Linked DNA regions of Astyanax mexicanus. The protein of the gene in region 3 purifies or fractionates together with the protein of the main gene of each other region. This does not show direct contact. Links are inferred from orthologs where the notes say so. Each region holds a gene or a part of one and is shown on either strand. Other genes may lie near its edges.

Region 1 (7,900 bases), on a different chromosome or scaffold from region 3:
GCATATTTCGCCCTAAATGTTTATTTCCTGAAAGGACATACAGCTAAATAGGCTAGATACTGAAAAGCAGAGATTCTAGGCTTTAAAATAAAAAAAAATAATTATTCATAAACACAAAAAGATATTAACTATGACATATTTCTGGCCCGTCGGCGGGCCAGGGCGTGTTAAGAGGTTAATGATGTGTATTGGGCTCTACAAAATAAACTACGCTAAATCGACATTGCAAACGTTGCCCAATAGCTGACGATTCAAGATTATTTCCATATCTCTGTTTACCGGCTGCAGCTGAAGTCTGTCTTCTGGAAAACAAGTTTGTTAATTTTGCACATTTGGCTGCTTCTTCTTCCATCTTCTTTCTTTTTTTAATATGGCCTTTTCGGCTCCACCTGGCCTCTTTTTACCCTCCATCACAGTCGTCTGACGCTTTGTGCTATTCTGTTGCTGCATTTAATTTGATCGCTTCAGAAAAGACCACTCGTGGACGCAACCAACTCAAACATTTGGGAGAGGAGAATTCCCTCAGATGGTTAAACCCGACGTAGGGGCTGTGTTGTCAGACGAATAGAGAGTGCATACGTAGTTGAATGGCAATGAATGCAAGAATAAGATTAGAGAAGTGAGGGTAAATAATTTTTTCCGTCCAACCGGCCCAAACTCGCCCCGGCCCATCGGGAATAAAATTATATTAATAATAATAATAGTAATAATAAAAGTGTGTGTGTGTGTGTGTGCAGTTTTAAAAAAATCTACAAAATATTCAGAATGCTAACTAAAATAGAATATGTCAAAATAATGTCAATATTATTATTATTATTATTATTATTATCATTATCCTATATTAGACTGTACTATTTATTTTATTAAAAATGTTTATTCTTTAAATTAATAAAATATTTTAGTTACTGTCACCAAGAACATTATTATAAACACACCCTGTAGCTAAATGGCCTAACAAAGTACTACAGTATATTAACCTAACTAAAATAGAATATGTCAACATCTAATAATACGTACTTGTAACTTTCTGACAGGTAATATTCTCACTCTAATGGTAACCTAATCCTAATCAAATATTATATACAGTTATCTTTCACTAGTGGCATCAAATATTTTCTAAGGTGATGTTATCGTAAAACAGTACTGAGGGAGCTGTGCTGAGCTGTGAAATGGTAAATTCATGTGCGTTGTGTCTGACCCGTGTGTGTAAACCTGTGTAAGGAGAATGAAAATGAAGATTTGTGCAAAAGAAACACTCATTCATAAATTCGTCAATTAAATTCTGAACGACGGAATTAATGCGTTGCTAAAATATATCATAGAACCACACAGCCATACTTGAAGTAGCATAGAAAATGAATGTGGCTTATTTTAGACCCACGCTGCCCGTTTGAGCGGCAGCGATACAAAAAGGGCTTTTATTTAAAAAGTAAGAAAGCAAAAAATAATATAAGGATGTACCATGATCAAAAACAATTTAATTAAGGAATACCTTGAATACTGAATGATTCGGAATATTACGATCTCATAGTGAACAGTTTTTATTTTTTTAAGAGTGACCCTAAAACGTATAGAATCTCTACACAGATCTGCTAAATGTGTTGCTGGATTTTGTGTGTCCGGTTGATTTCCTAATTTCTCCATTTATATGCTGTGGTGGTCTCTGTATTGCGCGTTTTATTAAAATCCCCAATGCCTTCGAGAGAGAGAGAGAGTGTGTGTGTGTGTGTGTGTGTGTGTGTGTGTGTGTGTGTGTGTGTGTGTGTGTGTGTGTGTGTGTGTGTGTGTGTGTGTGTGTGTGTGTGTGTGTTGGCTGGCTCAGGTCTTGCAGCATCAGACAAATTAAACATGATTACTAAATAGGCCAGCAATGAAAGAGTTGATAAAAAATAAGTACATTTGATTACATTTTGTTATGTTTTAATCAGGGACTACATTTTGCAAAGCCCAGTTTAGCCAGAAATACATGAATCTAGCACATCTAATAACACAGCAGACATTTGAAGCACTTGGGGGCTTTTATTTTAACAGGAGATATAGTTCCCTGACAGAGTCAGAGGGCTGAACTGCTTGGAGAAGGAGGGGATATGTATATTCTGTCCGTTTTTGCATATGGAACGCCTGGAGGCGTTATGAAAACGCGTGGTGGCGTTATGTAAGCGCCTGGCGCCGCCACACGCTCTTAAACGCCTGGCGGCGCCTCGCGTTTGTTCCAAGGCGTAAAAGTAAGCCCTGCACGGCGTTTTGGACGGCGTTTTTTAAGTATTTCGCACGCTTTAAGCGCCGTCAGACCCAGGCGAATTCTGACCCATTTGGCTTGCCATACACCTACAGTTACTGCTACACACACACGTGCTCCACTACAGAAGCAGTCTGCTGAATGTCCACCACACACAATCAGAGCTCCATATCCCCCACCCACCTCAAACAGCTGAACACACACACATACACACACACACACATGTGCTCCCAACCATCACAACCGCACAAACGGAACACACACACACACACACACACACACACACACACACACACAACCGACACACACTTCAGCCTGCAGCGTGTCCGTACATACCGTCCGCCGGCTGCTGGAAGTTGACGTAGGCGTAGCCGAGCGAGCGGCGCGTGATCATGTCCCTGCACACGCGGATGGAGAGCACGGGGCCGGCCGGACTGAACTTCTCGTACAGCATGGCCTCCGTGATGTCCGGGTGGAGGTCTCCCACGTACAGCGAGGCCATCGGGTAGCTCCCCGCGGCGGCCGCGTTCATAGCGCGAGGTCCTCGGTGTCCGGCTGAAAACGGAGCGGCGGAGGAGCGCGAGGGTCCGGGCTGAGTGTGTGTGTGTGTGTGTTAGTGAGTGTGTGCGTGTAGCAGAGGGAGAGAGAGAGGGATAGAGCTGTTTAGCCCGGCTCCGCTGCTGTTACCTGTGGTAAAGTTTCCGAGCTAATAAAAAAAATTATAGGTGGTCCTGAAAAAAAATAAAAACCAAAAAAATAAAAATAATAATAATAATAATAATAATAATAAAAAAACTTAGAATAATTAGTCCCGGAGCGCGCAGAGGCCTGTTCTGACTTTGAGAGAGAAAATAAAACGCTTGGTAAAAATTAAAAAATAAAAATGTGTTGTTGTTTTTTCCTTTTTTTTTTTGGTTTAGTCCGCGAGGTGTTGGTTTTTTTATGAAGATTTTCTGTATTTTGTAATTTTTATATGTTTTTTATTTTTTTAAGGTAACTAAAGAGGAGTGAGTTACACACTCACGGTTGGGTGGCCGGGGAAAGAGAGCGCGTGGGAAACGCATGGGAGCTTTATAAGTGCAGCAAGGAGCGGTCACACACACACACACACACACACCAAGAATGCGCTGTTAAAGGGAGAGGGACGCTGCGATCTGTGACAGCTGTTCTGTTCCCTCAGCCGCCTGCACAACAGCGCCCCCTGCAGGCAGATATCTGAGCTCTCAGGTCACATGGTCCGCAGGCAGCGGAGAAGGTGGACAGTAATACAGTATATAAATTAGTCGTGTCTTTTCTGTTGACAAATTCATCATATTACACTCTGAGAACTTTCTACTGCTTTTTGTAATAAGTACATAAAGATTTAAAAAATATTTTTTATTTTTAAATGATTTAGTTAATTACTTGAATTTCTTGCCTCTTTGAGAGCATCAGTAAAGTTGTGAAGAGGTAGAGTTGGTATTCAGTGAAAAGTTTTCTCTGATGCTCTCACTGAATAGCCCTATTTGAGTAATGCTATAATCCATATGATGGCAATAACTACTTTACTTAGTAAAGAAAAAATGATTTAAGAAATAAAGGTCAGTCAATCCCAAAAATGTAATATCTTTTTGAAAGCATCCTCAAGTGCAGTCACTCATCAGAGCGCCCCAGGAAAGAAAGAGCAAGAGTGACCACTGTTGTATGGGATAAATTAATCAGAATTACCAGCCTCAGAAACTGCAAATTAACAGCGACCCTGATGAAAGCAACTAAATGCTTCACAGAGCAGGTGGTAAAGTTTCCAATCTAATAAAAAATAAATAAATAGGTTGTCCTGAAAAAAAAAGAAGTAATAATGAAAAGAAAATAAGAAAAAAAATAGTCCTGAGCACACAGAGACCTTTTGATGGAGCACTTTAGAGTATGTTTTGTTCAAATCTCTGCCCTAGTATTTTATACTCTGTCTGGCCAAGAAAAAAAAAATCACCACTTGAATTGATCTAGGCTAATCATGTGGGGTTGCTGCAGTTTGTCAGGTCTTTTTTATACACAGTCTATGGTCAGGACACATGGGCCACAGGCAGTGGTAAGGGCCAGTAATACAGTATATTTACAGTATATATGAAAAAAGACAGGAACATGAGTCTAGTCATTTGTGGCACTGGACACAACCAACAAAAACAATCTGTGTGTATAGATAGTGTGTGTATGACACCACTTTCTGCTGCCCTTCCTCCTCCTTCTCCAGGTCAGGGTTCTTTTCCTTCTCCATTCTTTCCAGCTTATGCTACTTTTCGGTCAGCATCCAGGAGCTTCTGAGAGTCCAGTTTGGCCCAAAGCTCCTCCACAACGCAGTCTGTCGTTCTGCAGTGCATTCAGCATCAGTCTTTGGCTCACACCTCTTTTCCTCAGTCTACCTGCTGCTCTATCCTTCATCTCCTCAAGCTGCCCATTCCCTCTCTCCACATCAGATATGCCATCTTTATACTAACTATAACTTAGTACAAATACAATGCACAAAAACATTTACATCAAAAGTTACAAAGAAAGGCATCATTTCTAGATAAATTAGTTAATCACTGAGGTGCTGCAGATACCTTGTCAAATATTCATGCATCAAATCAATATGTTAACTTATAAAAATTGTTTTTGTAAAATGAATAATTTAAGGGAACAAATCTGACATTTAGATTTTTGGATAGTCTACGCCTTTAAATGCAATGGGTAGAGGTCTAGATTGCATCATTGTATAATATTCACACCCTGACGGGATCTAAATAGTGCAACACTGCTATCTAGTGGGCAGGGTTTAAAACCAATTAAGCAACGAACGAATGAATGTCTTCATGTTTACCAATTACAATGGTGTTCTTAGAAATATCGCAATAAGCTATTTAAACACTTCTTTTGGACACCTTGTTCAACTTCAGGTCACAAAATGAACAAAGTCTTTCATCAGAAGTAAAGGAATCAACATAATGAGTTTGCAAATTTGCATTTTATTTACACAGTTTAAGCTTTCATGGTTGTACAGCAGTACTTCAGTCAGGTCACAACATCTTATTCAGCTTCCTGCAAGCACAGAGAAAAGGAAAGGTCAGTGTGTAAACAGGACAAGAACCAAATGTAACCAATATTATTGACAGTTGGAAACGGTAGTTTTTTTTTTGCCATTCAGACCTTATTTTAGCCATTGATGTACAAAAAAAAAACAAAAAATCTAAACTGTATTAGTGTAGTTACTCCAAGACATACCAGCATAGTAGCACATGGTCAACTAAAATTAGAGGACCACACTACAGGTGTTAAGCATCTGAGGGGTATGTAACTGCAATAGAGGATAGTCCATAAGGCATTGAGCCATACGCAGTTCAATGTGAAGCCCTTAAAAAACACTTACACTTTAAATTTAGATTTTAATTCATTTATTCCGAGATATTTTAAGTTTAAAGTTTAGCTCAGTAAAGCACTTTAAGACTTTTTTCAGCAAGATACCCTTCTTGTACAATTGTGCTTAAAATACAGAATTTTGGTTTGGCTCTGGCTCCCATGTTAACTATAAATCTGGTCAACAATTACATCAGCCCCAGTACAGTGCACAAACAAAGGTTTGGGCAGAAAACTACCAAAATGAAAGTTTAATGTACAGCAAAACGTCATTACCTCATTAGCGCCATCAGGGAGGACACCAGTTCTTTCTTAGCACTCAGTTTTGCCGACTCCTCCCGATCATCCAAACCAGGCGTCCCCTGCTCTTCTGCATAGTCAAGTGAGCTTGATTCATCAGAAACTCCCTTAAAAGTCAACTCTGACTTCTTCAGAAACTCAGGCTTATCCAGTACATCTGCATTAGCCTTTTTAAACAAGAGTTCTGTGTGAGAGACAACCAGAACATCACCTTCATCGTGGTCTTCAATCAGTTCTGGAACATCACTTTTTTGCACATCATACATAGAAGCAACAGAGTTCTCGCCTGAGGAAACCTTCTCCAGCTGTGGCTCTCTAAAATTTGTGAACACATCACCCCTCAGTTCCTCCTCAGGCTTGTCAGGAAGGCTCTCCAAAGGTGGCTGAGGAGCTTCTGCATAGTGTCCACCACTCGGTAAATGTGGGGCATCAGCCAGAGGATACCCATCAGCCATGCCCAAAAGTTCTTGATATGCAGGTTTAACTGCTGGAAACACCTGCTGTGGATCTTCTCTCTGCAGACTTGCTTCAAATTTGGCTTCTGGTTTCCTCCAAAACACATCAGCTGGAACGCTGCTTTGACCGGATAGAAGATCAGCTCTACCCTTCCTCTGAGGATAGCCAATTTCTATCTCAATGACTGGGCTAGACTGAACACCCATCATAAGCCCTGGTAGCAAGAGTGACAAAGCATCTCCTAGGCCTCGGCCTACAGCCAAATCTGCAGTTACAGGTGATGTCTGCCAGGGGGAGCGGTTGACCTTAGGGCTGCCAGACACAGATGCTCCAGAGACAATCCAACCCTTTCCAGTTGAAGAGGTCAATGCTCCTGATGGAGACGCACCAGACAAGATCCAGGGTCTTCTATTGGAAATGGTGGGAGTTCTGCCAGTCAGCGGCTGCTTCTCAAGTTCCTGTTCCTTGATTGATAGTGGACCAGTGCTCACCACTGCTTTGAACTCTGAAAACAAGAACATTGCTTTAAATAACATGCTCAGTCCTGTTACAAAGGACTACAACAATGGAGGGGTCAGATCCACAACTGCATGGCAACTACAGTAGTTTAAAGTTGATAATTTACTTATTTGTAGTTTCAAGCATACAGTGTGGATTAAAACAAATATTGCAAAGAGACAATTGGCTAAGAGAATGATCACTACGTAACAACGCAATAGGGATGGGACAAAATAATCAATATTGCAATACATCAATATGTGGCATCAAATATTTGAAACTGATGCATGAGATGCAGTATGACCCTCATCCTTACCAAATTACTGCAGTTTTTTGATGATTGAAGTAGTGATGTAAACATAAGTAGATTGGATTAAAAATGGAATGGACATTTCTTGGTGCACGTAAACTCTTAACTGGAGTATTCTGGGATTAGTGCATGAGTATTAGCCGACTGGCGCAACCAATAAATACTGACCACCAAAAGAAGCCGGATATTCAGAGGGGTATCTGCATTTTGTTGCACAGCATTCACATACGTCAGTCCGGCCACCCAACTCCACCCACCTGAAACAGCAAACAAGTTTGTCATTATGCTTCTGCATTAGTCACAGAACACAGATATGGCCTACATGAAGTTAAAAAGTTTACACATACCTGAATTTGTCAGTTACGTAGTTGCAGGACTTGGTGTCTGGAGTCAGTCCATGATCAGAGAGGGCCACAACACAGTGAACATAAATCTACAGATTACAGCACAAGACAAGATTAGCTCGAACAGTCAAAATAAACAATTTTTTTTTTAAATTATGTAGGTCAGCATCTCAATTCTTGTGTAACTAAAGTGACTTAGTAGTGGTTTCCATTTTCAAAAAGTAAATCTTTTTTTGAAAGGGTTTAATAGGGACACACAACGGCATCAAATTTCTCAGTATTGGGCGAGAATTGCTTTTTTTTTTTTTTTAAGAAAAATTGGCTGATTCCTTGATTTGACCAAGGAAAAAACTGATACTTGCTGACGTATTTAGTCAAAGTAAA
Region 2 (8,141 bases), on a different chromosome or scaffold from region 3:
AGACATTTCTTGGTGGGGAAATCTGCTGTAATGAGCCTTCCTCCCACCTCTATTGGATACGCAACAATCACACCAACACTGTTCCATATGTCAGACTGTACTACTGCATCCACTTCCCACCAATTATTTATTTTACATTCCTTAACCTGAATATCCATCAATTACCCACCAAAAAAACTGCACTGTGTATCAAAACCTCTATAAACCTACTTCATGAAAAATCAACACAGCTCAAGTCTAAGCTGGTCTTTTAATGGTCAAAGTGCTGGTAATTCCCAATTTAACACACCTAATTCTGCACAATTTATTTATTTTCTAAACCATTTTAAACCATTGCTAGTGACTCTGTGTACATTATCTTAGTATATCTTGCTAAAATGCAATATTTAAGTCTAAAATCAGCCTTTTTGAGCATTTATGATCCATTGAAAATATTATATAAGGGATGACTCTAAACCTACGATTTATGAAAAATCAACACAGCTCAAGTCTAGGTAGGTTTAGAAGTTAAATTGTGCAAAATCAGGTGAGTTAAAGCAGGAATAACCGACACTTTCACCATCAAAAGAGCATCTTAGAATTATGGTCATCCCTTTTATAGATTTTCAATGAATCAAAAAGGCTCAGAAAATCTGTTTTGAGACTAAAATCATGAATGTTAGCTAGATATACTAGCTACAAGCATTGGCTAACCTAGTTAGTTACATATTTTAAAGGTTAATCATAAAAATCAACCCAGCTCAAGTCTAAGCTGGTCTTCTGATGGTTAAACTGTTGGTTATTCTGGCTTTAACACACCTGATTTTGCACAGTTTAACTTCTAAACCCACCATGATAGAGTAAAGAACATTGGTTAAACCTAGCTAGTGACTCTCTGCACATTATCTTAGTATATTTAGCTAAAATACAATATTTAAGTCTAAAATCAGCTTTTTGAGCCTTTATGACCCATTGAAAACCTTATATAAAGGATAACTCTAAATCTACATTATGAAAAATCAATCCAGTTCAAGCCTAGGCTTGTCTTTTAATGGTAAACAGAGTCTAGAACTAAAAGTGTGCAGATTCAGCTGTGTTCAAGCAGGAATAACAAACACTTGGACCATCAAAATACCATCTTAGACTTTTACCATAAAATAGGTTAAATTTTTTTTAGATTACTCATGAAAAATCAACCCAGCTCAAGCCTAAAATGGTATTTTGATGTATTTTTCATAAAGTATATTTATGGTAATCTCTTCTATAAGGGTTTAAATGAATCGTAAAGGCTCATAAAGGCTTATTTAAAACGTATCTAGCTACAACTAACAATTTAAGTCTCAAATCAGCCTTTATGATCCATTAAAATCTTTATATAAGGAATGACTGTAAATCTACATTATGAAAAATTAACACGGCTCAGGTTTCAGCTGGTATTTTGATGGTAAACAGACTAACTAGTTGGGTAAAATGCAACCAAAAATGGGATTAGAACTAAAACTGTCCAGATTTAGCTGTGTTAAAACAAAAAGATTTTGAATGGATAATAAAGGCTTATTTGAGAATTATCTAGCTAAACCTCACAATTTAAGTCTCAAATCAGCCTTTATGATTCATTGAAAATCTTATATAAGGGATGACTCTAATCCTACATTATGAAAAATATGTTTATTTAAGTGTTAGCTAGATATAATAAGCTAGAGACATTGGCTAACCTACATATTTTAGGGCTGATTATGGAAAATCAACACAGTTCTAAGATGATGTTTTGATGGATTTTTTATAAAGGATGTTTATAGTCATCTCTTATATAAAAGATTGTGAATGGATCATAAATGCTCATAAAGCCTGATTTGAAACTTATCTAACTAAAACTCACAATTTAAGTCTCAAATCAGCATTTATGAGCCTGGCTCTAAACCTACATTATGAAAAATCAACACAGCTATAGTCTAAGCTGGTGTTTTGATGTATTTATGGATTTTTCCAAAAAAAAGTATATTTTGTCATCTCTTATATAAGATTTTAAATGGACCAAAAAGGCTTTAAAAATTCTGATTTGAGACTAAAATTGTGAATGTTAGCTAGATACACCTAGTTACATATGTTAAGGCAGAATATAAAAAAATCAACACAGTTATAGTCTAGGCTGGTGTTTTGATGGATTTATGGATTTTTCATGAAGTATATTTAGAGTCATCTCTTATATAAGATTTTGAATGGATCATAAAGGCTTATTTGAGAATTATCTAGCTAAAACCTCACAATTTAAGTCTCAAACCAGCCTTTATAAGCCTTTATGATTCATTGAAAATCTTATATAAGGGATGACTCTAATCCTACATTATGAAAAATATGTTTATTTAAGTGTTAGCTAGATATAATAAGCTAGAGACATTGGCTAACCTACATATTTTAGGGCTGATTATGGAAAATCAACACAGTTCTAAGATGATGTTTTGATGGATTTTTTATAAAGGATGTTTATAGTCATCTCTTATATAAAAGATTGTGAATGGATCATAAATGCTCATAAAGCCTGATTTGAAACTTATCTAACTAAAACTCACAATTTAAGTCTCAAGTCAGCATTTATGAGCCTGGCTCTAAACCTACATTATGAAAAATCAACCCAGCTCAGGTATAAGGTGGTGTTTTAATGGATTTATGGATTTTTCCAAAAAAAGTATATTTTGTCATCTCTTACATAAGATTTTAAAAGGCTCAAAGTGCTTATTTAAGACTAAAATCTAAAGAAAGTTAAATTAAAAAGTGTTATTTAGATGTAAGTTAGTAAACACATAAACATCCTCCGGCGAGGCCGGGCTCCACAGCGGCTAGGCTACTCACTCCTATCCGGAATCTGAGCAGCGCCAGGCGGATGCAGTGGGCCATGCAGACCGGGGGCAGGAACCAGACCTTGGGCGGCGGGGTTCCGCGGTTCTGGACGTGGCTGATGATCTGCTGGGCGGTCTGCCGCTCGTTCACCTGCCGCTTGACCCACTCGTGCAGGCGGCCTTTCTCCAGGGCTCCGTTAAAGCAGACCAGCAGCTCGATGTTGCCGGTGAAGCAGGCTTTAGCCAGGGCGGCCAGGTAGCCCAGCATGTGGTTCCACTGCCCGCCGCTGACCCAGTCCGTGTAGAAGCCGCCGTACAGCCGGTGCAGGCAGTTCTCCGCGTCCACCAGCAGCCGGAGCGGCGACTGGGGCGGCCTCTGCCTGCCGCCGCCGACCAGACTCCCCCGGGCCAGCTTCTGCAGCTCCACCGGCACCACGGCGCTCGGGCAGTGCTTCTCGATGTACTCCTGGAAACCTTGGACCCCCATGATGATTCAGTGCGTTTTTAATAAAAAATAAAATCCTAAATAAAGCGAAATAAAGCTGAATAAACCGGATTAAAGGAGCAGAGAGGAGCTCCTGCTGCTGCTCCTCCTGCACCGGAGAAACAGACTGAGCCGAATATTGCTGGAGGAGATGAATCAGTGAATAAACAGCTGTTATTAGCTGTTTTTTGGTGAGTTATTGGTGTGTTTTCTCTTTTTTGGGGGGTTCATGGCCGCTGGCCGCCATGTGCAGTCCTATGGAGCCATGTCTGAGAGAGGGAGAGGGACAGGAGCACCGTGACGCATGAACGAGTCCAATCGGCTCCTGTGAATCGGTTCTTTTGAATCGGTTCTTCTGAATCGGCTCTTATGAGTCCATCCTTTCCTTCTCCTCCTCATTTTCTTCCTCTATTCTTCTTGTCTTTTCCTTCTTTCCTACTCCTCTTCTCCTTTTTTCTTTCTTACTCCTCCTCTCTTCCACCTTTCCGTCTCCTCCCCTCCTCCTTCTTCTTTGCTACTCTCCCTTTCCTCCTCCTCCTCCTCCTCCTCCTCCTCATGTTCTTCTCCTTTTACTTCTTCTCATCTCCTCCTTCTCCTTTCCTACTCTTCCTTTCCTTCTCCTCCTCTCCTCCTTTCCTTTTCTCCTCCTTTCCTCCTGCTTCTCCTTTTCTCCTCCTCACCTCCTCTTCCTTTCTTTCTTCTCCTCCTCCTTCCCAAATCCTTCTTTCCTCCTCCTTTCCTACTCCTCCTTTTCTCCTCTTCCTCTTCTCCTTCTTCTTTCCCTACTCCTTCTCCTTTCCTTCTCTCCTCCTCCCTTTCTCCCTTTCCTATTCTTCCTTCTTTACTTCTCCTCATCTCCTCCTTTCCTTCTCCTCCTCTCCTCCTCCTTTCATACTTTTCCTACTTCTTCTCTCCTCCTTTCCTAATCCTTTTTATCCTTTCTCCTTTCCTAGTTCTCCTCTTCCTTACCTTCTCTTTTTCTTCTCCTGTTTCTTTCCTTCTCGTCTTCTCCTCCCTTCCTACTCTTCTTCTCCTCCTCCTTTCCTACTTCTCTTCTCCTGCACCTCCAAACAGTCAGCAGATATATGGTCATCCTGTTAAATGTGGAACATATGTAAGTAATGATATATATGTTCTACAGTCACATAAGTGTTTTAATAAAGTTGAATTATTTCTACACATACACAAGTGTCAGGTGCTCAGGTGTTTTGTGGGCGTAGCCAGAGTGATGTAATGCCAACATCTTTAAAACATTTCCAGGATCTCTGGAAGCTTTTTAGAGGAGGATTCTTTCGTCTCCTCTGGTATTCAGACAGATGGCGAGATGCCGTATAATTTTTAACAATTTTACAGTATTTTCCAGTATAGATTTGTCTGTAAATTCAAATAAAATAATATATATAAATACGCAATTAAAGTATAAAGTAATGAAATAAAGGGGGGAAAAGCCTTCCCAAACATTGTTTCATCTGCATATATGCTTATTAAAATAATGTAAATATATTTAAGGTAACTTATTTCAAACATATGTCTCGAATCTCTACATGCATCATCTTCATACTAGGCTGGGAATTAAGAATCAGTAAATTGATTAAATCAGACATTCGGCTCATTAAAACATACAGTTCCAGAGAATCGATTCAGTAAAGTGAATCGAACGCTCCATTATTAGTGACGCAGGTTGTGAGGAGGAGCCCTGACCTGGTGCTTTAGCATCACATTAGTGGGATAAAAGTCTGTTAAAGGACCAGTCCAACCTTTATTCCAGTTTTCACGTCTTTTCAGTTTTATGTTTTGTGAAATGCAGCCAGCAAAATAAAGATATTGTGATGTAAAAGAGAAAAAATCCATACAAGACAGTATGGTTCAGCAAGGCTTACAGCACTTGTGAGCGCAGGGTGGATGAAACTAATGATGCCTTCAAGTCTTACTCAGAAATTCCTACTTACGAATTTGGGAGTCGTAATTACGAATTGACATGCATTCGAGTGTTTTTTCGTCTGGTAAAAATAGATGCTATTTGGAAAATCCTTTTGCTTATATTTTTGATCTATTATAATAAAAAACAGGAGGTTTACTTTGCACTACTCTGAGAGAATGAAGTGAATAAGACATGCATTAGTTGAGTAATGTTTTTTTAATAACATTAGAACCGTAAATCTTATTAGACTTTTATGTTTTTGCATGTATTGCTAGTGGTTTTATTAATTAACTAATAGTTAACTGCTACCAACCATGGCGCAAGTTATGATGGAGGATTTTGGGGGTCTTACCCCCCAATTAACCCTTTCATAACCTGCGTCCATTACAATGGACTGCATCTATTTTCATTTGTTCTTAAAATGTTCTGTGGTGCATAACACTCTTTAGCCCTATCTGGACGGGAATAGTCTCTCTGGGGGACGTCTGTGAAAAATATTGAAAAAATATATTTATACAGTGATAAAACTCCTGCATTTAGACTGTAATCGAAAAAACAAGAGGACCAGTAAGTTTTTAGGCTTTTTTTTCTCGGCACATGACATGAGTATTGTTCAGTAGCTCCTCCATTTCCGCTCACTGTTGTGTTTTTAATGTGGATCTCTGTGGAAACTGTGGCGTGCCGAAAGTGTAATTACGGTGCGCGGCAGTGGACAAATAGCTATTGTATTAAACGTGAGAAGACGAAACTCAGAGATGTGCGTCCGGACGGGACTAAAATTACCGGAGGAGCACGGAGTTCAGAGAAAAACAGTAGATAATTCAGCCTGTAATTTTCTCAGAGGACGTCTGAGAAAAACGTCCCAGATGAATAAACCCCCCATAAAAGAGAAAAATACCCCAGAACCTGCTGAGAAACAAATCTCTTTCGGATAGAGCTTTTGAGACATTTTGTCCATGGGAATAGACCATGAACCAGAAAATAAAAAAGTTTACAAGCCATTGGAACTGAAGTTTAGCCCTGCCCAATGCACTGGGGAAAAACAGCAGCTTTTAGAACACTTAAAAAAATACCTTCAGCAATAGCTTATGAAATAAAAAAGTCGATATCAAATATATATATATATATATATATTTTTTTTAAACAGACACTCCCAATGCAATGGGTATGTAAAAAGTAGTGGATTAATACAAAAATGACAAAATAATCATAGTAATAATAAAAAAAAGAATTAGGACCAAGCGGAAACGGCCTGTTTCCCTTTAGACCGCCCACGAGCCTTGTGATTGGCTCTGCCGTTTGTTGCTAACGTGTGATTGGCTGTTGCCGTTGTCCCTCCATCTGACCTGCACCTGGAGCTGCACACCTGTGTTTAGCTAATTACAGGAGCTCGTGTTCATCTGATACTGTAAGTTATGAGCACGCTGAGCGTTTGTTCTGCTTTATATCAGAGTTTTTTTCATGTTAATATTAGAATCTGTGTGTGTGTGTGTGTGTGTGTGTGTGTGTGTGTGTGTGTGTGTGTGTGTGTGTGTGTGTGTGTGTGTGGTAATTAGGCAATTAGGCGGGGGGGAGAGTAAACATAAGCGACTTCTTTAATTATTAGTCAAAATAATCCAGAATTTCTGCTTATTTGTACTCAAGATAGTGTATAATTTAATGTTAATGAGGTCTATTGATCATACATTCCAAACAAATAAGTGTAAATAGTGAGTTGGAGTGAATTCCACCTTAAATACCGCTAATTTATATACTATTCCGCTTTAAATGCTGCTGCTAATTGACCATTCCTCCTTAAATGCTGCTGCAAAGTTACAATTCCGCTTTACATACTGCTGCAAAGTTACTTTTGCATCTTATATACCGCTAATTTACTATTTCACCAAAAAATGCAGCTGAATTATATTCCGCCTTAAATACCGCTAATTTATATACTATTCCGCCTTAAATGCTTCTGCTAATTTACTATTCCACCTTAAATGCTGCTGCTAATTTACCATTCCGCCTTAAATGCTGCTGATAATTTACTATTGTGCCTTTAATGCTTCTGCTAAGTTACTATTCCACCTTAAATACTAGTAAATTACCCTTACATATTAAATACTGCTAATTTACTACTCCACCTTAAATACTGCTAATTGACCATTTCCCCTAATATTTTGCTAATTTACTATTGCACCTTATATACTGCTAATTTATTTACCATTCCACCTTTAATACTGCTGCTAATTTACTATTCCGCTTTAAATACTGTTAATTTATTATTCCACCTTAAATGCTGCTGTGGCGACACAGTCTTAAGGCCATACCTATGGAGGAACTGACCGTCTTCATCTTTTAAGGTGGAACGGAACAATGCTGTGTTTATACAGTGAGATTACAATGCCATCCATACACATACATTTAACCACATTTAAAAGCATCACACTGGTTTAAACACAGTTAATTACTAAAATACTTTGATATATAAATTAAATAAAAAATATACATTATATATTTTTTTAAATTCATATATGTTTATATAAAAATACAAACATTTTGACATATTTCTACAAATGTAGAATGTATATAAATGTGTTTATATTATAGAATAAACATTTTCTCTTACCAAATACATTAATTAATTAATTTATTTATTTTACTAACTGTTAATCCATTAGTATGATTTGTTCTTTAAATATTGACTTACACTACTGTACATTAAATAAATATTCACTTATTCGATTAAAAAAAAACTCAGCATCCTAAACAATCAATCAAACCACAACCAGTCTACTAAAGTAAGCTATGTTCATGCACTGACATCTTCTGCATCTACAAAAGCACAGGAAATCAATTAAATTCATAATATAATGTACCTTTTTTGATCATAATTGTAAGATTTAGTATATGTGTATTGGACAGTTCTTAAAGTAATCAT
Region 3 (8,362 bases):
TGCTCATTTAATCATCCCCAAACCTCTCCAAAAAAGCCCAGAATTGCTAGTTATAATCCAAACCTAACTAAGCTTAATTAGTCATGAAGAACTAAGCTAAAGCACATGTTCTTGAACTGCGCTGGTATAGATGTCTTCATCTACCATATTGAACAACTCTGTCCCTGTTGAAAGTAGATGCGACAGACGCTGACTAGGCGTTAAGTAACACTGACAAATTCACAAGTACAGCTTTGTGGGCAAGTTCGTCCAGGCTTTCCATCTGAACATGTACGAGCAGAGAAAAATGTTGCAGCAAAAATAGAAATAGCCATCTGCAAGTCTAACATAAGTGCTGAATAAAAACCACTGAGTCAGACAAACAGGATGAGCTGGGTGCCAGAACTGGCAGTGCTTCTTACTCTGTGTACAATCTTAAATTAACATTCACTGTAACTGCACTTGTATATGATGAACAAACGTTGTTGAAAAGACTGAATAAGAACAAATAAAGATAAATGAGTAATAATAAGAGGAACAGTCTGCTGTGAACATGACCTTTGGTTTGTATCACAGCTCATTCTGCAGTTCTTTTAAGACTAAAATCAGCAGTTCAAATATGCATAGCGGAAACACCAGAGAAGATAAAAGTGGGCTGTATTGCTAAAACTACTCACACACTGTATTACCCCACAGGAAGAGGCACAAAGCTAACATAATTAAATCACACAGTGTGAGTGTGTGCTTTTTAAGGATCGATTTGTCACAAGATCAAATCAAATTAATTCATTTTCCCTCCTCTGATATCCTATCCTGCATCTTCTGCTGCATTCAAGTAAAAAGAGAAGAGGAAAAAAACAAAACAAAAAAAAACATTAACAGCATTACAAAAGAAACAACAACATGGCGGTCTTAAGAATAAACCAAATAAATGTTAAATATCATTAATAAGAAAATTACACAAGAACAAAACAGCTCTCATTTATCAAAACAAACAGACCTAGATCATAAAAAAACAAGAAACACCGTAGCTGCTCATCAATGATTCATATATTTGTGTTCTGATGCTCTGCGTGTTGTCCTGTATACTGTCCAAAGAAACAACTAAACACAGGACAAATCATCTGCTGCAGTCTGGACAATTCTGTCAGTCTTATTTTTAAACCACTTTCTTTATACACTGTCAGTTTACAGTTTTTTGTTTTGTTTCTCAGCAAATATAACCATGAACACTGAATTCAGTAAGTTAAGTCATAAAACAAAACATGCTCAATACATAATTAGCTAGCTACATTAAAAGCTTAGAGAAAGGAAAATGTAAGAAACAGAAGGACAAACTTAACCTAGCTATAGGACATGTATATGAATATACATCCCAAATAAAGCAAAATAAATACACTAATATTCTCCATAAGATCTATCCATGCAATTTTCTGATAACTAAAAACTGGGATGTAAGCAATACTTGAGATAAACACATGGCTCATATTTTCTTTACATTCTAATGTGGCCTTTAACCTTTGGACAGAATTAAGTTTATATTTATTCCTTGTTTTTACTTCAAAGGCATCATGTGTTACTTTGAATAAAAACTAGTCTTTTAAAACTTTTTTTTATAGCAAAATAATATATTCATCAAGAAACAGCATATATGAATAATTGTACAGATCATAAAAACATTAGCTAGAATTAACCGAAAATAAAATCTGTTTTTTTTATCAGCAACATATGTGAAGCCTAGATTTGTATTATTTGTCCATAATTAATGATGTGTGTTTCAAGAGTGAGAAGCAAGTGTTAGCTAGCTATATTTTGTATTGTATTTATGAACACAATATTTTACACAGTCCGATAAATAAATGTTACTTGCTATATGAATAGAAGAACTCTCTCAGTGGAGATGACTGCTGTCACTTATAAACAGGGATCAATAACCAGCCAAAATAAAAAAATCAATCAAGTTGTCTGTGTCATTTCTTTCAGTTTTATTTTCTAACTAGGTTTAGATCACTAGATAATAATATATAAAGCTAACCAGGGCTAAATAAGCATCATTTACTCTGAATCATAACCGTACTTTATAAATATAAACACGTGAATTCAGTAACTTAACTATGGATATACAGCTCTGGGGAAAAAAATAAGAGACCACTTGAAAATTATTAGTTTCTTTGATTGTACCAAATTGAAAACCTCTGGAATATAATTAAGAAGAAGATGGATGATCACAAGCTGAACTGCTCGACTTTTTGCACCAGGTGTGGCATAAAGTAGTAGAGGAGAACAAGCCAAGATGCATGAAAACTGTGAATGAAAACCAGGGTTATCCTACCAAATATTGATTTCTCTCTTTTACTTACAGAAAATGAGAAATGGCTGAAATAACAAAAACGATACAGAGCTTTCAGACCTCAAATAATACAAAGATAAGTTCATATTCATAAAGTTTTAATAAATGCTCTAAATGACAATCTTTTTATGTGGAATTTGGGAGTAATTCACATCAGATTATAGAATAAAACAACAATGCTCATTTTACTCAAACATACACCTATAAGTAGTAAAATCAGAGAAACTGATTCAGAAACTGAAGTGGTCTCATTTTTTTTCCAGAGCTGTATGTATATAAGAGAGTTCTTCACCAGCTCCTCTTCAACACTTGTCGTTAGCTTAGCCTCCACACAGCCCACAGACAGCTCGAGAACAGCGTGTTTAGTGACCGGTGCTGTGTGTTGTGATGACCTACCTGCAGGAGTCCAGTCCACATTAAACACAGTGATTTTTCTCTGTTTGTTTTCGGTCAGAAAAGCGGAGCAGCCTGGAGCAGAGCAGAGAAAAGCTAAAGCTAAGCTAAGGCTAGTGCTAACCCCGCTAACAGCTCTCACTGAACAGAGGGAGGGAGGCGCTTTCTTTCTTTCTTTCTCTCCTTTTTCCGACACCGGTGAACGAACTCGGGCTTCAAACAGAGCCTGGTCGCTTCTTCCCGCCTCCTCCGCTCCAGTCTGATCTCCTCACACCTAAGACTCGCGGTTGGAGCCGCTCTCTGCTTCACCCAGCTCCGCTTTGTGTTCAATAATCGCCGGTATTCCCGCTCTAACTCTGCCCGCTCTCCGCGCTCCTCTCTCCGCCTACTGCACAACCGCCGACCGCCAAACCCCGCAGCCAATCGCGGGCAGCCGCACTCAAGCTCCCCACAGACGCGGGCGCTCATTGGCCAGCACGAACGCGCGCCGCGTCCAATAGCAAGCGGTTGTGCGGCGGGGCCCGAAGTGGGGAACATGTGGAGAAACTCTCTTTGTTCTTCATTTTTAACAAACACTCACTTTTTACAGCTTCAAAGCGAGAGATCTGCTTCAGATCTGTTCTTCTCATCCTCCACCTGCAGCACGAGGGGCCTGGAGCTGCCTGTCGCAGCGCATGATTACTGTAATGCCGATATATCGCTTATATCATCCACAAATTATAGTGCATTATTATAATGATTATAGTATTTCATTATACTATAGAATAGAAACGATAGTATATTAGTTTTATATATAATTATGCACGTTGCCTTTGCCGTGCATACACTGTTTTTTTCTCTCTTTTTTAAACAGATAAGCATGTAGGTTATGTTAGTTGGTGCTTCAGCTTTATTGTGATTCTAAACTTAAGTCTGCACTTCTGTTGTTTGTATAGTATCAATATAAACACAAGGTCAATTTTTTTTATCCCCAAATATTTCTACTGGACCCACTGAACTTGGGTCAGCCGGTTCGCCAAGCCACGCCCACCTGATACGTTGTGATACGTCAGAGTTCCATAAAGCCATTTTATGGGGATTATCAGCTTTGTTTAGGAGGGAAAACCATCCAGCCTTCTCCCCACAGAACCGTTATTCCCCACTGTGGTAACCCACAATTACGAGTCCTGGCCAACTGCAGCCTTTCCTCTCCCCTTTTAGTGTGTTTTTGGCTTAATTGTGGAAGATCCAGTTCAAATTTAATTGCTTAAGGTATATTTAAAAAACTATATGGTTAATCAGAGATGTAGTCAAATCATTTAAGAGCAACAAGTCAATAAATCTGTAATAAATATTTAAATACAGCTTTTATAAGTGTAATCAACATAGCTGAGAATGGAAGCCCTTTTCTACCGCTTGGGGGATAGGGGGGGGGGGGGGGGGTTCATTCACTAGAGCCATATCTTAAAAGGATTAGTTTCTCAGGGGGTCCTGGGGTACCATGTATGTGTTTTTCTCAGACGTCCTATAAGAAAATTACAGGCTGAATTACCTAGTGTTTTCTGCTGAACTCCTTGGTCCTGCTATGCCTTTGGGTGTGCGTTTCCACAGAGAACCACATAAACACAACAGCGAGTGGAAATGGAGGAGCTACTGAACGTGATGTCACATGACCAGAGGTGGAAAGTAACAAATTACATTTACTCACGTTACTGTAATTGAGTAGATTTTATGAGTAATTTGTCATTTTTAAAGTAGTTTTTAAAATAGGTAATTTTACTTTTACTTAAGTTCATTTTGACACAAGTAATTTACTTTGCTATAGTGGGAAACTCCCCGTTACTGAGTAAAAATAAAATGCTGGGAAAAAAAAACAATCGCCTGAATTAAAAAAAAACATTGGCGCGTATGCTCGTGCGTGGAATAACGAGGCAATGACGTCCACATGCAATGCAAAATGTGCCTGTCCCGCCTGACCGAGCTGTCAGCTTTCAAAACTTCCACATCAAACCTGCGAAAGCACGTGGTGGTAATTTATATGTATATTCTAAATTCACTGGTTAGCTGTGGATTTACTTTACAAAGACCAGTAATCTCATATGCAGTTGCACAAATTATACAATCTTCTGTATTTAGTAAAATATACAGCACAATAATCCCTTTATTAAAAATTGTACAACCTAAGCAAGTTCTTTTACAGAATTCTATTCTACAACCCCTGGCAAAAAGTATGGAATCACCAGTCTTGGATGAGCACTCCTTCAGACATTTCATTCTGTAAAACGAACTCTGATCAAAAACATGATACAATAATAAGGTCATTCCAAAGTGCAACTTGTTGGCTTTCAGGAACACTCAAAGAAATGAAGAAAAAACATTGTGGAAGTCAGTGAATGTTACTTTTATTGACCAACCACAGGGAAAAAAATATGGAATCACTCAACTCTGAGGAAAAAAGTATGGAATCATGAAAAACAGATAAACAAAAGATGATTCAAAATACATCACTAGTATTTAGTTGCACCACCTTTGGCTTTTATAACGGCTTTCAGTCTCTGAGGCATGGACTTGATGAGTGACAAACAGTATTCTGCATCAATTTGGTGCCAACTCTCTTTGATAGCAGTTGCCAGATCAGCTTTGCAGGTCGGAGCCTTCTTGTGGACCATTTTTTTCAATTTCCACCACAGGTTTTCAATTGGGTTGAGATCTGGACTATTTGCAGGCCATGACATCGACTGAATGTGTCTTTCTCCAAGGAATGCCTTCACTGTTTTTGCCCTATGGCACGATGCATTGTCATCTTGGAAAATTATTTCATTATCTCCAAACATCTGTTCAATTGAAGGGATGAGAAAACTGTCCAAAATGTCAATGTAAACTTGTGCATTGATAGAAGAATTAACCACAGTCATCTCCCCAGTGCCTTTGCCTGATATGCAGCCCCATATCATCAAGGACTGTGGAAATTTGGTTGTTTTCTTCAGGCAGGCCTCTTCATAAAGCTCACTGGAACGGCACCAAACAAAAGTTCCAACATCATCACCTTGTCCAATGCAGATTCTTGACTCATCACTGAAGATAACTTTCATCCAGTCATCCACAGTCCATGATTGCCTCTCCTTAGCCCACTGCAGTCTTGTTCTTTTATGTTTAGGTGTCAATGATGGTTTTCTTTTAGCTTTCCTGTATTGAAATCCCATTTCCTTTAGGCGATTTCTTACGGTTCGGTCACATACATTGGCTCCAGCTTCTTCCCATTTATGCTTCATCTGTTTAGTTGTACTTTTTCGGTTTTCAAGACAAATGGCCTTAAGTTGCTTGTCTTGACGCTTTGATGTCTTTCTCGGTCTACCAGTACGCTTGGCTTTAACAACCATTCCATGCTGTTTGTATTTGGTCCATATCTTGGATACAGCTGACTGTGAACAGCCCACATCTTTAGCAACCATGCGTGAAGAGTTACCTTCTTCAAGAAGTTTCACAATCCTCTCTTTTGTTTCAAGAGACATTTCTCTTGTTGGAGCCATGGTTCTTGCCACTCTAATTCGTCCAGCAGCCCTCCAAGGTGTCATGACTGCAGGTGTTTTTAACTGCAGACTAACGAGCAGATCTAATCTGAGGCAGGTGTCCATTTAGGGAAAGGAAATTGACTGGGTGTGTCCTTATTTTCTACCTTCAATTTGAGTGATTCCATACTTTTTTCCTCAGAATTGAGTGATTCCATATTTTTTTCCCTGTGGTTGGTCAATAAAAGTAACATTCACTGACTTCCACAATGTTTTTTCTTCATTTCTTTGAGTGTTACTGAAAGCCAACAAGTTGCACTTTGGAATGACCTTATTATTGTATCATGTTTTTGATCAGAGTTTGTTTTACAGAATGAAATGTCTGAAGGAGTGCTCATCCAAGACTGGTGATTCCATACTTTTTGCCAGGGGTTGTATTCTATTCTATAGACACCTATTGTGGAAGATTTAGTTCAAATTGCTATTCTGGTAAACCAGCATGCTTATTAGTATAGGGTATGTTTTGCCTGAATGGCCGTATTTTGACCATGTAGAGCTTAGACCAATAAATTGGCATGTGTTGACGTACATGGCCATTACACTCCCTTGCAGACTGTAGCCCATCGATTTATGCAGTTGGAAGTTAGCTGTCCTCTAGTCCTTCATCAATGGTTGGTCTCTTTCCAGAAAGCCGCTTCTCTGTATAGTACTGGAAATTATGTGTGGGACCAAATATCAACCTTACAGAAACATCACTGTATCTATTAAAGTAGTACTATGTAGGTATTTCCAATAATATTATCAGTTAGAAGAAGTGCAAAACAGGAGTCTAATTTTGCACTTATGAAGTGGCCTGTACATAGAGTCCCCACCCTTAATACACTAAAGCTTTTGTTACTAATTAAAAGTCCACTTTTCCCATAAATTATACCCAGTTGAAAAATCCAGCTTGTGGTGGTAGCTGGTTTCAGAAGGTCTAATCTCTCCCTCAATGGTCAATGTGGTTGAAAAGCAGATCACCAAGGTGAAAACATGCACTATGTGGCGAGCTAGCTGGTTAACCTGCTCTTGAACAGCATAGTGTATGTTGCATTTTATTTTAGTAATGCTTGGTGATGCTGGTCAACCAGCACGGTGAAGCTGTTTATATGCTCATAAAGGGTAGATGCTCATTCTTACCCTATTTAAAAAACACATCCACAGCTTTATTTATTTGATGAAGACAAACTGATGTGGTTTGAACAGGCTATGACTTACTTTACAAAATTAAGTTCTCTGGTGAGCTGAACAGCTGAGACAGACAGCCATTGAATAACTGTTCCAGTTTAAACATTTACTTGGTCTATTAGTGCTTTTTTTTTGGTAAATCATTTTATTAACCTACAAAATACCTTTGGTAGCTTACTTGCATAGCTTTTAAAGGGTTTGTATAGCAAACAATATTTTCCAATGTATATTTACCAAAATGTTTGGCATGACAATTATTAGTAACTATTAAACCAGTTAGTTCTGACCCTGCAATGGGATTGGCTGAGAGGCGTTCTATGAGTGCAGTTTTTAGTCTGTAATGCAATGTGACCGAGGGTCTCCATGTAACATATTTTCTCATCCTCTTTAACTCAAAACATTTCAATAAACAGCAATAATAGAACTGTGGTATAATTGTTGATGCACAGTAAGACTGAAGTGTGATTAGTGCCATTCTATACAAAACCTTTAACAATATTGGCCTTTTATAAGGAAGCTCACATCAAATACCAAACCCATATGGGCTGATCAACTATATCTGAGACCATAAATAACAATAACTATTACTATACATGGACAGGATATTGGAGGGAAACCAAATTTTCCTGGTTTTGATCAGTCAAATTAATAAAAGGTTAAAATAACATATTGTTTGATGCTAATCCCTGAAGATAAGGTTTCCACCACATGAACCAGAACGATAAGTCTTACGGCTTATTTCTATTTCTAAGTAAAACAATATAATTGAACCGAGAGTAGGAAACAAACATTTTTCCAATTTACACTTTTATTTAAAAAGATTTTGAAAGAAACCTAATAAACAGTGCGAACTTTGGAATGAAAAAAAGAAGGATTCTGCATTCAGGAACACTGGTTACAACAAAATTACTCCAGACTGCCACAG
Region 4 (8,377 bases), about 57 Mb from region 3:
TATTTCACTGTAGAACTGTATAACACGGTCATTGTCATCTTGAAAGAAGTACAATAATGTTCATGTCTTAAAAGCAGACTTTTATTTACTAATTAACTTGCTTGAAACCAGCTAAAAATGAAACACAAGTTAAATTATCTACTAATATTTTTACATCATAAATTATTACCTAGATTATTTCGTTTGCAAATCATGTTCTTTGCCGTGTGTGTCCAACCATAGTGACTACACACACACTCCAGACCTGTTTTGCTGTCACATATTGTTATGATTGTCATGCTGTTGGTTGGGCAACACCTACAACATACTTAGAACCACCAACACTATTTCATTCCAAAACAGCTCATGAATACATCACAAGACCAGGAAGACGCTTCGGCGGAGTACTTCACGCTAATGCATACTTCACAGACCAATTCAAAACCAGAAAACAACATCTGAGCTCAATATTCAATGTAATACTGAAGAACATTCCTGAAAATGATATGAAATGCTGTTAAATGTAGCTTGTACTTAGTAGTTTGTAGTTCTATTTAGGAGAATGTTGTGTGTTGTAGGAGTATGTTGTGATAGTTTAGCCCATATTTGTACATTTCTATTTTTTTTTCAAACACTTTTATCAAGCAAAAGGATCAGGACAATGGAAACAAGACAAGTTACCTGTCCATGTAGTGCTAGATAAGGTAACTAGATAGCTATCAGAATACAGTGTGAGAAACACAGACACACACACACAGAATGTGAGAGATGATTGAACCACTCCACACAGTCTAGGTAGTAGAGTGTGTGATTTTTTAGGCATGTAGCTATAGTTAGCACAAAGCTAATTGGTGGGGTATAATCAGAGAATCTTCCATTACTTGTTAGCAGGATTAGCCTCAGGGAAAAAGAAACCACACATGTTTTGGAAAACTGACTACATCCATACTAAAATGGGAGTACCATTTTAGTCCCTCTATCAAATCTATTTTTTTTTTTTGATAAGAAACTGATTATTTTAATCAGATGTTTTAGGAGTGGTCTACCTGCATAATGTTGCCCAAAGACAACAGATGAAAAAAACACTGTTTTAGTAAGTAAATATAATAAGAATATAAGAAGCCAAATGTTTTTACACATTCTTGCACATATACATATTTGTATTTATGAACCAATTGTACAACTCATTGCATTTGAAGTAGATATGCCTTTTAACATTATATATTTTTAAATATAATTAAGGTATGGGGTAATACCCAACCATTTGGATTTGTTGTCTGAGGGCAACACTATGCCATAGAGGGTTAAGGCACATGTTTACCCACAACACAGCAGGGCAACAATGATTTAGGTGGTGTGAGACTGTGATGTGATGAACTGAATATAGGATAAATGAAGGCTTGTCAGTACTGATTAGTATAATTAATACATAAATTAGCTAGTTACAGTTTTAGGGCATCCAGAATTCACAAACACACACACATACACAGTTGAACTATCAAAAGCAAGGCATGACGGGTGTGTTTTTAGAGGCCAGTGAGCTGCTGATGATGGTTTGATACAGCACTGCAGCACCTGCTAGCCTCATACTCGCGCGCGCACGCACGCGCACACCCATACACACACTAAACCCAGTAAACTCAGGGTACCAGGGCACAGGGTTTTTCTTCAGCGTGTCAGTGAGTGATGCATCGGCGTGGTTGGTATTAAGCCTTTATCTGTCTTAACACAGTGAATGTATCTACAGGAACACCCACATACCACACACACACATACACACACACACACACACACACACACTAAACACAACAGTTTTTTTACTCACGTATCTCTTGAGCTTTTTCTCTGGCGGGGATTTGACGAGCCATCCGGTACACACCACGTCCCCTGAGCTCATGTCTGTGTCCATGTGTCTCTGTGTATGTGTTCTCTCTGTGTGTGTGTGTGTGTGTGTGTGTGTGTGTAGACTGAACACAGAGCAAATCCTGTGTGAAGCCTCCAGCGTCTAGATGAGGAACTAACTAGCTAGCACTGATCAGAGAGAGAGAGAGAGAGAGAGAGAGAGAGAGAGGGGAGGGGAAAGGGATGAGGCAAAGAAAGATAGATATAGTTCTCCAGAAGAGCCAGAGGAGTGGGAGAGAGTGTGTGTGTGTGTTTTTCTAAGCTTTCTTGTAAATGAATTGGAAAGAGAGATAGAGAGGACATGTACGTATTTGCATGCAGTGTTGAGTGTGTGTGTATGTTCTTTTTTCCTTCTTTGTGTGTGTGTATGTGTGTGTGGGTGGGTGGTTGGTTGGGAAGAGATGACCCTCCTATTAGTGTGACACAGTAGCACATGACCCTGTGTGTGTGTGTGAGTGTATATGTGTGTGTCTGTCTGGAAAATGCTGCGAAGCCACTTTTAATGGTTTACTGGGCCATCTGTTACTCAGAGAAGGAGATGGGAACTGTGCTTTATATGACATATGTCATACTACTATTACTACTACAGCTAGTGTAGTGCTACTACCATAAGTAACAATTGTATTAATACTTCTACTACTAATACTATTCTACTACTACTACTACTACTAATAATAATAATAATAATAATAGTACAATTGTACTAGTACTACTAATAATAATAGTTGTAAAATACTATTATACTACTACTACTGTAACTACTACTACTACTACTACTAATACTACTACTACTACTACTAATAATAATAATAATAATACAATTGTACTAGTACTCGTTTTAAAAATACTATTCTACTACTACTACTAGTGTAATAGTACTACCATTATTGCTACAACCATTAAGCATTAAATAGTGCTATACCCCTAGCACTTCTATTGCGACTATTTTACTACTGCAGCTTATGTTAAGAATAATCATATTATTATTACACTATTACTCTTACTACTAGTACTAGAGCTACTATTAGTATGAATAATTACATTCAACTAGACTACTACACTAATGATAAAATATACCAATAAATATACAACTACCATTACTACAAGTAATACAACCAATGCTACTACTACTACTAAAAATATATATAATAATAATAATAATAATAATAATAATAATAATAATAATAATAATAATAATAATTTGAAAGTCTTTAACAAATGTTAATTACATCGAAAAATAAATTAAATACCCCCACTAGCTCATTTAAAGCCAGTGACAGTTTAGAAATAACAATAAGCATTCAAACTCGAGAATTAGCTGGTTTTGTCGCCCTCTAGTCGCCAAAGCTATTTACAACACAGTAATAAAAAGGTAAAACAGAGGAATACATTCAAACTGTGATAATGAAGTTATCTGTTCAATTATTTAAATATTGCAAAACAACATCTCATTTGTACTTTGTAATAGTTTAGTCTCTAAATTAATTTGAGTCTTACCTAGTTCTTAATGTAAAGAAAAAAAGCTGGTAATATACAAGTGTAGATACAAAACCCTTTATTTCTGCAGTAAAATGAGTTATTTATATTCTAAAACTTTGTGAGCTTTGTAGGGATTCTCCCACAGACCACTTGGAGAAGCTGCATGTTCACTCTGTACTCTTGATAATTTATAATGATTAAGATAATAATTATAATTATTTATAATAATAATATCAGTTTTGAGAGGAATCAACCCCAAATTCTGCATGTTTGAAATAGACATAAAAAGAAGACAATTGTAACAAAATGAAATGTTTGGAGGACATGAAATGATTAATTCATATTTAGGGAAATATTTATTTAAAAATGTTAAAAGTTCAGGAAGGTGCCAATTTTGTGATTTTCATTCATAATTCTTATATTCACTTGACAAATAATTTAAAATCTTTTCAATTACTTTTACAGCTAATATTTTTAATAATGTTTTTTATCAAACATGAAAATTTTATATGTAATGCTCAAAGGGAAATCCTTAATACTGCTAAAAAAAATTCATTGGCTTAACTTCAAAAGTTATCATTTTGCTTTGGCTCAGTTAAGTTGTAAATACATAACATGTTAAGTTCATTCAACTTAACTCAGTCAAGTTATCATTTATACCAAGTATGCAAATAGATTGTGACAGAGGCCAATGGAAAATAAGCTGCCAATGACATTAGACTAAACTCAGCTATTATAAGTTGGTTATTATTATTATAATTATTATTATTATTATTATTATTATTATTATTATTATTTATATATGGTCCACTTGTGTCCACATTTATATATATTCCTTTTAATTAAGAAATGTTTGGTTACCCCGTGTCCTACAGTAATAAACCACATCAAATCCTGGATGTTTCTTGAGATTTCTTTGGAAATTATATTACTTTTCATCACTTTTTTCTCTCAGTGGGGCTTAGGTTCATATGTTAGGGAAAAAACTCCATGTACATATTTAAATATTTTGTGGTATGCATTTTTACTTTGATCAACATTGCAATTTGTGTTTATCGGCTCTTTTTTGTGGATAAAATCCCTACAGACTTCATTGTAGTATGTAATATTTTGTGGAGGTTTCCCCACATTTCCTTTTCACTACTCCAGACTGCATTCTATGTCACTGACTGTGAAACAATTGGGTAAAAAGCCGTTTTTAACATGTTTTGTTCCACTAGTCAAAATTATTTTATTGTTTTTTTCCCCTGTAAATCACCTTTATCAAAAACACTTCTCAGAATATACTTCATTTTATAGCTCATGAATTTTCATGAGCCTATGGCTAATCAGAGGCAGCAAACCTTGTCCCTTTCCTAAACATATATAAACGCTGATAAAAGAGCATTGACACGTATAGTATACCAGAAGTTGGTTGAAATCACGTTTGTTCATTGGCTCAACAAACATTTTTAAGTTTTCAGATTGAAGTTCTCTGAACTCATTTTATTGAGTTGTCCTGGCCGGTAAGTTCACTTAACTGGATTATATTTCTTCTCCTGACTAAAACACAAAATCACGTTTAAGAGTGAAGATATAGCTGTGTAATATCAGGCAGAAATTTGACAAAAACGCCGGCATGTTAAGGGGTTAACGAGAGTAAATCAGACTTGAGGGTTTGTTTACATCAATGCATTTCAAAATCTCGCGGTACTTCGGGGCTCTACCATCGCGATATTTCCCGCTGAAGGGGGCGTATGCCTGCCATGTCTGAAGCTGCGGCTGCGAGCTGTGTTTTTCTGTGTGAAACTCGCTGAGCGGCTCATGAGAGGCTAAACATGTCTGATGAAGAGGTGCCGTCAACCTCTGGGGAGCCCGGGCCCGGGAAGGAGAAGGTAAATCGGACATTTAACCGCAGAAACAACAAGAAGTCACAGAGCTGAAGTTGTGTTATTTTTCTCCAGCTCCATATTCGAATTTTCCGCTCCACCTTAAACTGGGCGGCGGTTAGGCTTTGGCGCCTGTTCTGAGCGCGCTGGCCCAGTACAGTAGTTTTTAAGGTGGAACGGAACATGCCAATATGGAGCCAACTTCAGCCTCCACAGCAAGCACAAGTTTTCTACAGCACAGAAATGGCGAATTTCGCTGGAGACTCAGCGCTGAAATACACCAATTAAACATTTCCCAACACAAACTATAAACTAAACCAAAACACGCAGATTTATATAACAACATCTGTCTCCAGCTTTCCTAACTCTGTCTCTGTCTGTCGTGCTGCTGCTGGGTGAGACTCCCAGGCCCAGATTTATCACATTAAATAGCTCCTTCGTTCTTGGTAATTTAGTTTGTGTGATTCTGGTTTCTTTCAGGAGGTCAGTCTGATATTGGTACTTTAATTAGCTGAATTTAAACCTGACACCTAATTTCCACATGAGTAACACTGTAATTACAGTAATCAATAAAAATGATATATAACGTTAGCTATATGCTCCACTACTTATATCATTATTCATGATTATATATTATATCAAAAGTTGCCTGTAGTAATTCTGGGATTTAAAGGTGTAACGTTATATTATAACTGTACATTTTTTTAAAAAATGCAGCTCTGGAAAAAAATAAGAGACCATTTAAAAATTATGAGTTTCTTGATTTGACCAAACTTCAAACATCTGGAATATAATCAAGAGGAAGATAGATGATCACAAGCCATTAAACTAAGCTGAACTGCTTGAATTTTTGCACCAGGAGTAGCATAAAGTTATCCAAAAGCAGTGTGTAAGACTTGTGGAGGAGAACATGCCAAGATGCATGAAAACTGTTATTAAAAACAGGGTTATTCCACCAAATATTGATTTCTGAACTCTATGAATATGAACTTGTTTTCTTTGCATTATTTGAGGTCTGAAAGCTCTGCTTCGCTGTTGTTATTTCAGCCATTTCTCATTTTCTTCAAATAAATGCTGTAAATAACAATAATTTATTTGGCATTTGGGAGAAATGTTGTCCGTAGTTTTTATAATAGAACAACGGATTCAGAAACTGAAGTGGTCTCTTAATTTTTTTTAGAGCTGTATAATCTGTTTTATGGTTCTTTCTGGACACATTTCATTTATTTTATTAGTCTATTCTTGTCATTTTAAAGGGATTTTCCAGAGAAATGTTTTACTGGGGGAATACTCTAAATGTATTGGGAAAACCTTGCTTTAAAGTGAAGTGTACAAATAAATCAATCCAAAAAATATTAGTAGTAGTATTGGTAGTATTAGTAGCAGTAGTATGTTTATAAAACATACGCTTGTATTAGTATTACAATATTTTCTACTGCACAAACAGTAAAATTACCACAATATTGCATAATATTAATGTTTCTAATACCATTGTACTACTATAAATATTGAGAATATTAGTAATAATAATAGTAATAATAATTTTTCACTTGAACAGTATTAGTCCACCCTCTCCACCCTAACAGCGCTTGGCGTCACCTGAGTTTTGATCATCGACCCCACCCTGCTCAACTGAACTCTATTAACAGGCTCTATAAAGGAGCCCCAGTTAAGAGTATTTTATTTGAACTCTTAGCTCTGAGTGTTTTATGTCTATTCTGTATCTGGTATTCTGACCTTAAGCTTTGATTTTTTACTACGTCTCAACATCGTCCTCTGATAACCCTGTTTGCCCGTGATTTGACCCTTATCTGTCTTTTGGATTGTGTGTGGTATAAGCTCTGCCTGCACTTGCATCCGGTCTCATTATTAGTTTAAGATGACAATTTTCTATGGCATGGGCAGTGAAAAAATCACAATGTTGCATAGTATTAGTTTTGCTTTTAGTACTGTACTACTATGAGAGCAATAATAATAATAATGATTATTATTATTATTGTTATTATTATTATTATTATTATTATTACTATTATTATTTTAAGACAGTTTAATAACCATTCCTAGTTCTACCTTAATGAAGTGAATGAGAGAATAATGAGTAAGCAAAGTTGGCATCAAAGCAAAAGATGTTACACTGAAGAAAAAAACATATTTTGGCCTGTTTAACACACTTTATTTTATAATTTCATATGAGTTTCTTCATAGTTTTAACGTCTTCACTATTAATCTACAATGTAGAAAATAATAAAACGTCCCTGTTCACTGCGCCACCACCAGGAGGTGTTCTGGGTTAAGGAGCAAAACATCTATGAGCGGTGGTCCCCAGCTGATGACCCTGCAGTTAGTAAACAAGACACCGGTGGAGGTGCTACATGCCTAAAGCACAGCAGGAAAACTTCTGTCTGTATAAATAAAAGAAAAAAAACATTAAATGAGCAGTGGCATGTCCTTGGTCTGGTCCTGTATAAAATTGGACGGTTTATGTGACTTGTGTTTGTGTATGTGTGAAGGATCCTCCGTTCCTGCTGGGCCCCCCTCCAAAAGCAGCAATAAAAGAAGGCACAGTGGACCCTGAATATGAAGAAAAAAGAGTGAGTGTTAATTACGAGTGTTATAATACTGCTAGGAATCACTGTCAATTCTGTGTGAATGAAAACACTTTACCTTATCTCCTTCTCTGTTTCTCTCTCTCTCTTTCTCTGTAGAAAGCAGACAGGGCTAACAGGTTTGAGTTCCTGCTGAAACAGACTGAACTCTTTGCTCACTTCGTCCAGCCAGCGAGTCAGAAATCCCCCACATCGCCCCTGAAGGTGCGGATGGGGAGACCCCGCACCAAACAGGATGAGAAACAGAACCTGCTGTCTGTTGGAGAGTGAGTCCAACACATACACAAACACACACACATATGCAAATTCTTAGGATCTGAATCAGACTTTCAGTTTCTCATGCTACAAAAAAATTTCAAACAATCATTCAAAGGTTTAGAAACACTCTTCTATGACATATAATCCTCATATATACCTGTTAAAAATACATTACAGTACAATGTTCAGTTTTAAACATATAATTATCAAATAATTAGAATAATTAGAAATATCAATAATTTTATTGAAATTATCTGTTATTAGGTAGTGATTATTAACTATGCA

The links.
Region 1: the proteins of ezh2 (region 3) and pabpc4 purify together in Homo sapiens (affinity purification with mass spectrometry, with the first as the bait; 3 studies listed by BioGRID). This does not show direct contact. The link is inferred for Astyanax mexicanus from reciprocal best matches to the Homo sapiens genes EZH2 and PABPC4.
Region 2: the proteins of ezh2 (region 3) and constitutive coactivator of PPAR-gamma-like protein 1 purify together in Homo sapiens (affinity purification with mass spectrometry, with the first as the bait; 3 studies listed by BioGRID). This does not show direct contact. The link is inferred for Astyanax mexicanus from reciprocal best matches to the Homo sapiens genes EZH2 and FAM120A.
Region 4: the proteins of ezh2 (region 3) and smarca1 purify together in Homo sapiens (affinity purification with mass spectrometry, with the first as the bait; 3 studies listed by BioGRID). This does not show direct contact. The link is inferred for Astyanax mexicanus from reciprocal best matches to the Homo sapiens genes EZH2 and SMARCA1.

Annotation. Positions count from the first base shown.
Region 1 is NC_064421.1:41,826,488-41,834,387, forward strand, and holds the start of pabpc4 (polyadenylate-binding protein 4), read right to left. Parts: upstream 3,304-7,900; 5' UTR 2,772-3,303; coding exon 2,576-2,771; intron 1-2,575. Other genes in the region: zpcx (zona pellucida protein C), read right to left, coding at 5,272-5,293, 5,885-6,869, 7,341-7,429, 7,520-7,605.
Region 2 is NC_064431.1:32,840,657-32,848,797, reverse strand, and holds the start of constitutive coactivator of PPAR-gamma-like protein 1, read right to left. Parts: upstream 3,304-8,141; coding exon 2,830-3,303; intron 1-2,829. UniProt on the Homo sapiens protein: Component of the oxidative stress-induced survival signaling. May regulate the activation of SRC family protein kinases. May act as a scaffolding protein enabling SRC family protein kinases to phosphorylate and activate PI3-kinase.
Region 3 is NC_064408.1:92,430,217-92,438,578, reverse strand, and holds the start of ezh2 (histone-lysine N-methyltransferase EZH2), read right to left. Parts: upstream 3,139-8,362; 5' UTR 2,726-3,138; intron 1-2,725. UniProt on the Homo sapiens protein: Polycomb group (PcG) protein. Catalytic subunit of the PRC2/EED-EZH2 complex, which methylates 'Lys-9' (H3K9me) and 'Lys-27' (H3K27me) of histone H3, leading to transcriptional repression of the affected target gene.
Region 4 is NC_064408.1:35,517,757-35,526,133, reverse strand, and holds the start of smarca1 (probable global transcription activator SNF2L1), read left to right. Parts: upstream 1-5,074; 5' UTR 5,075-5,177; coding exon 5,178-5,234; intron 5,235-7,738; coding exon 7,739-7,819; intron 7,820-7,933; coding exon 7,934-8,100; intron 8,101-8,377. Other genes in the region: gab3 (GRB2-associated-binding protein 3), read right to left, coding at 1,805-1,888.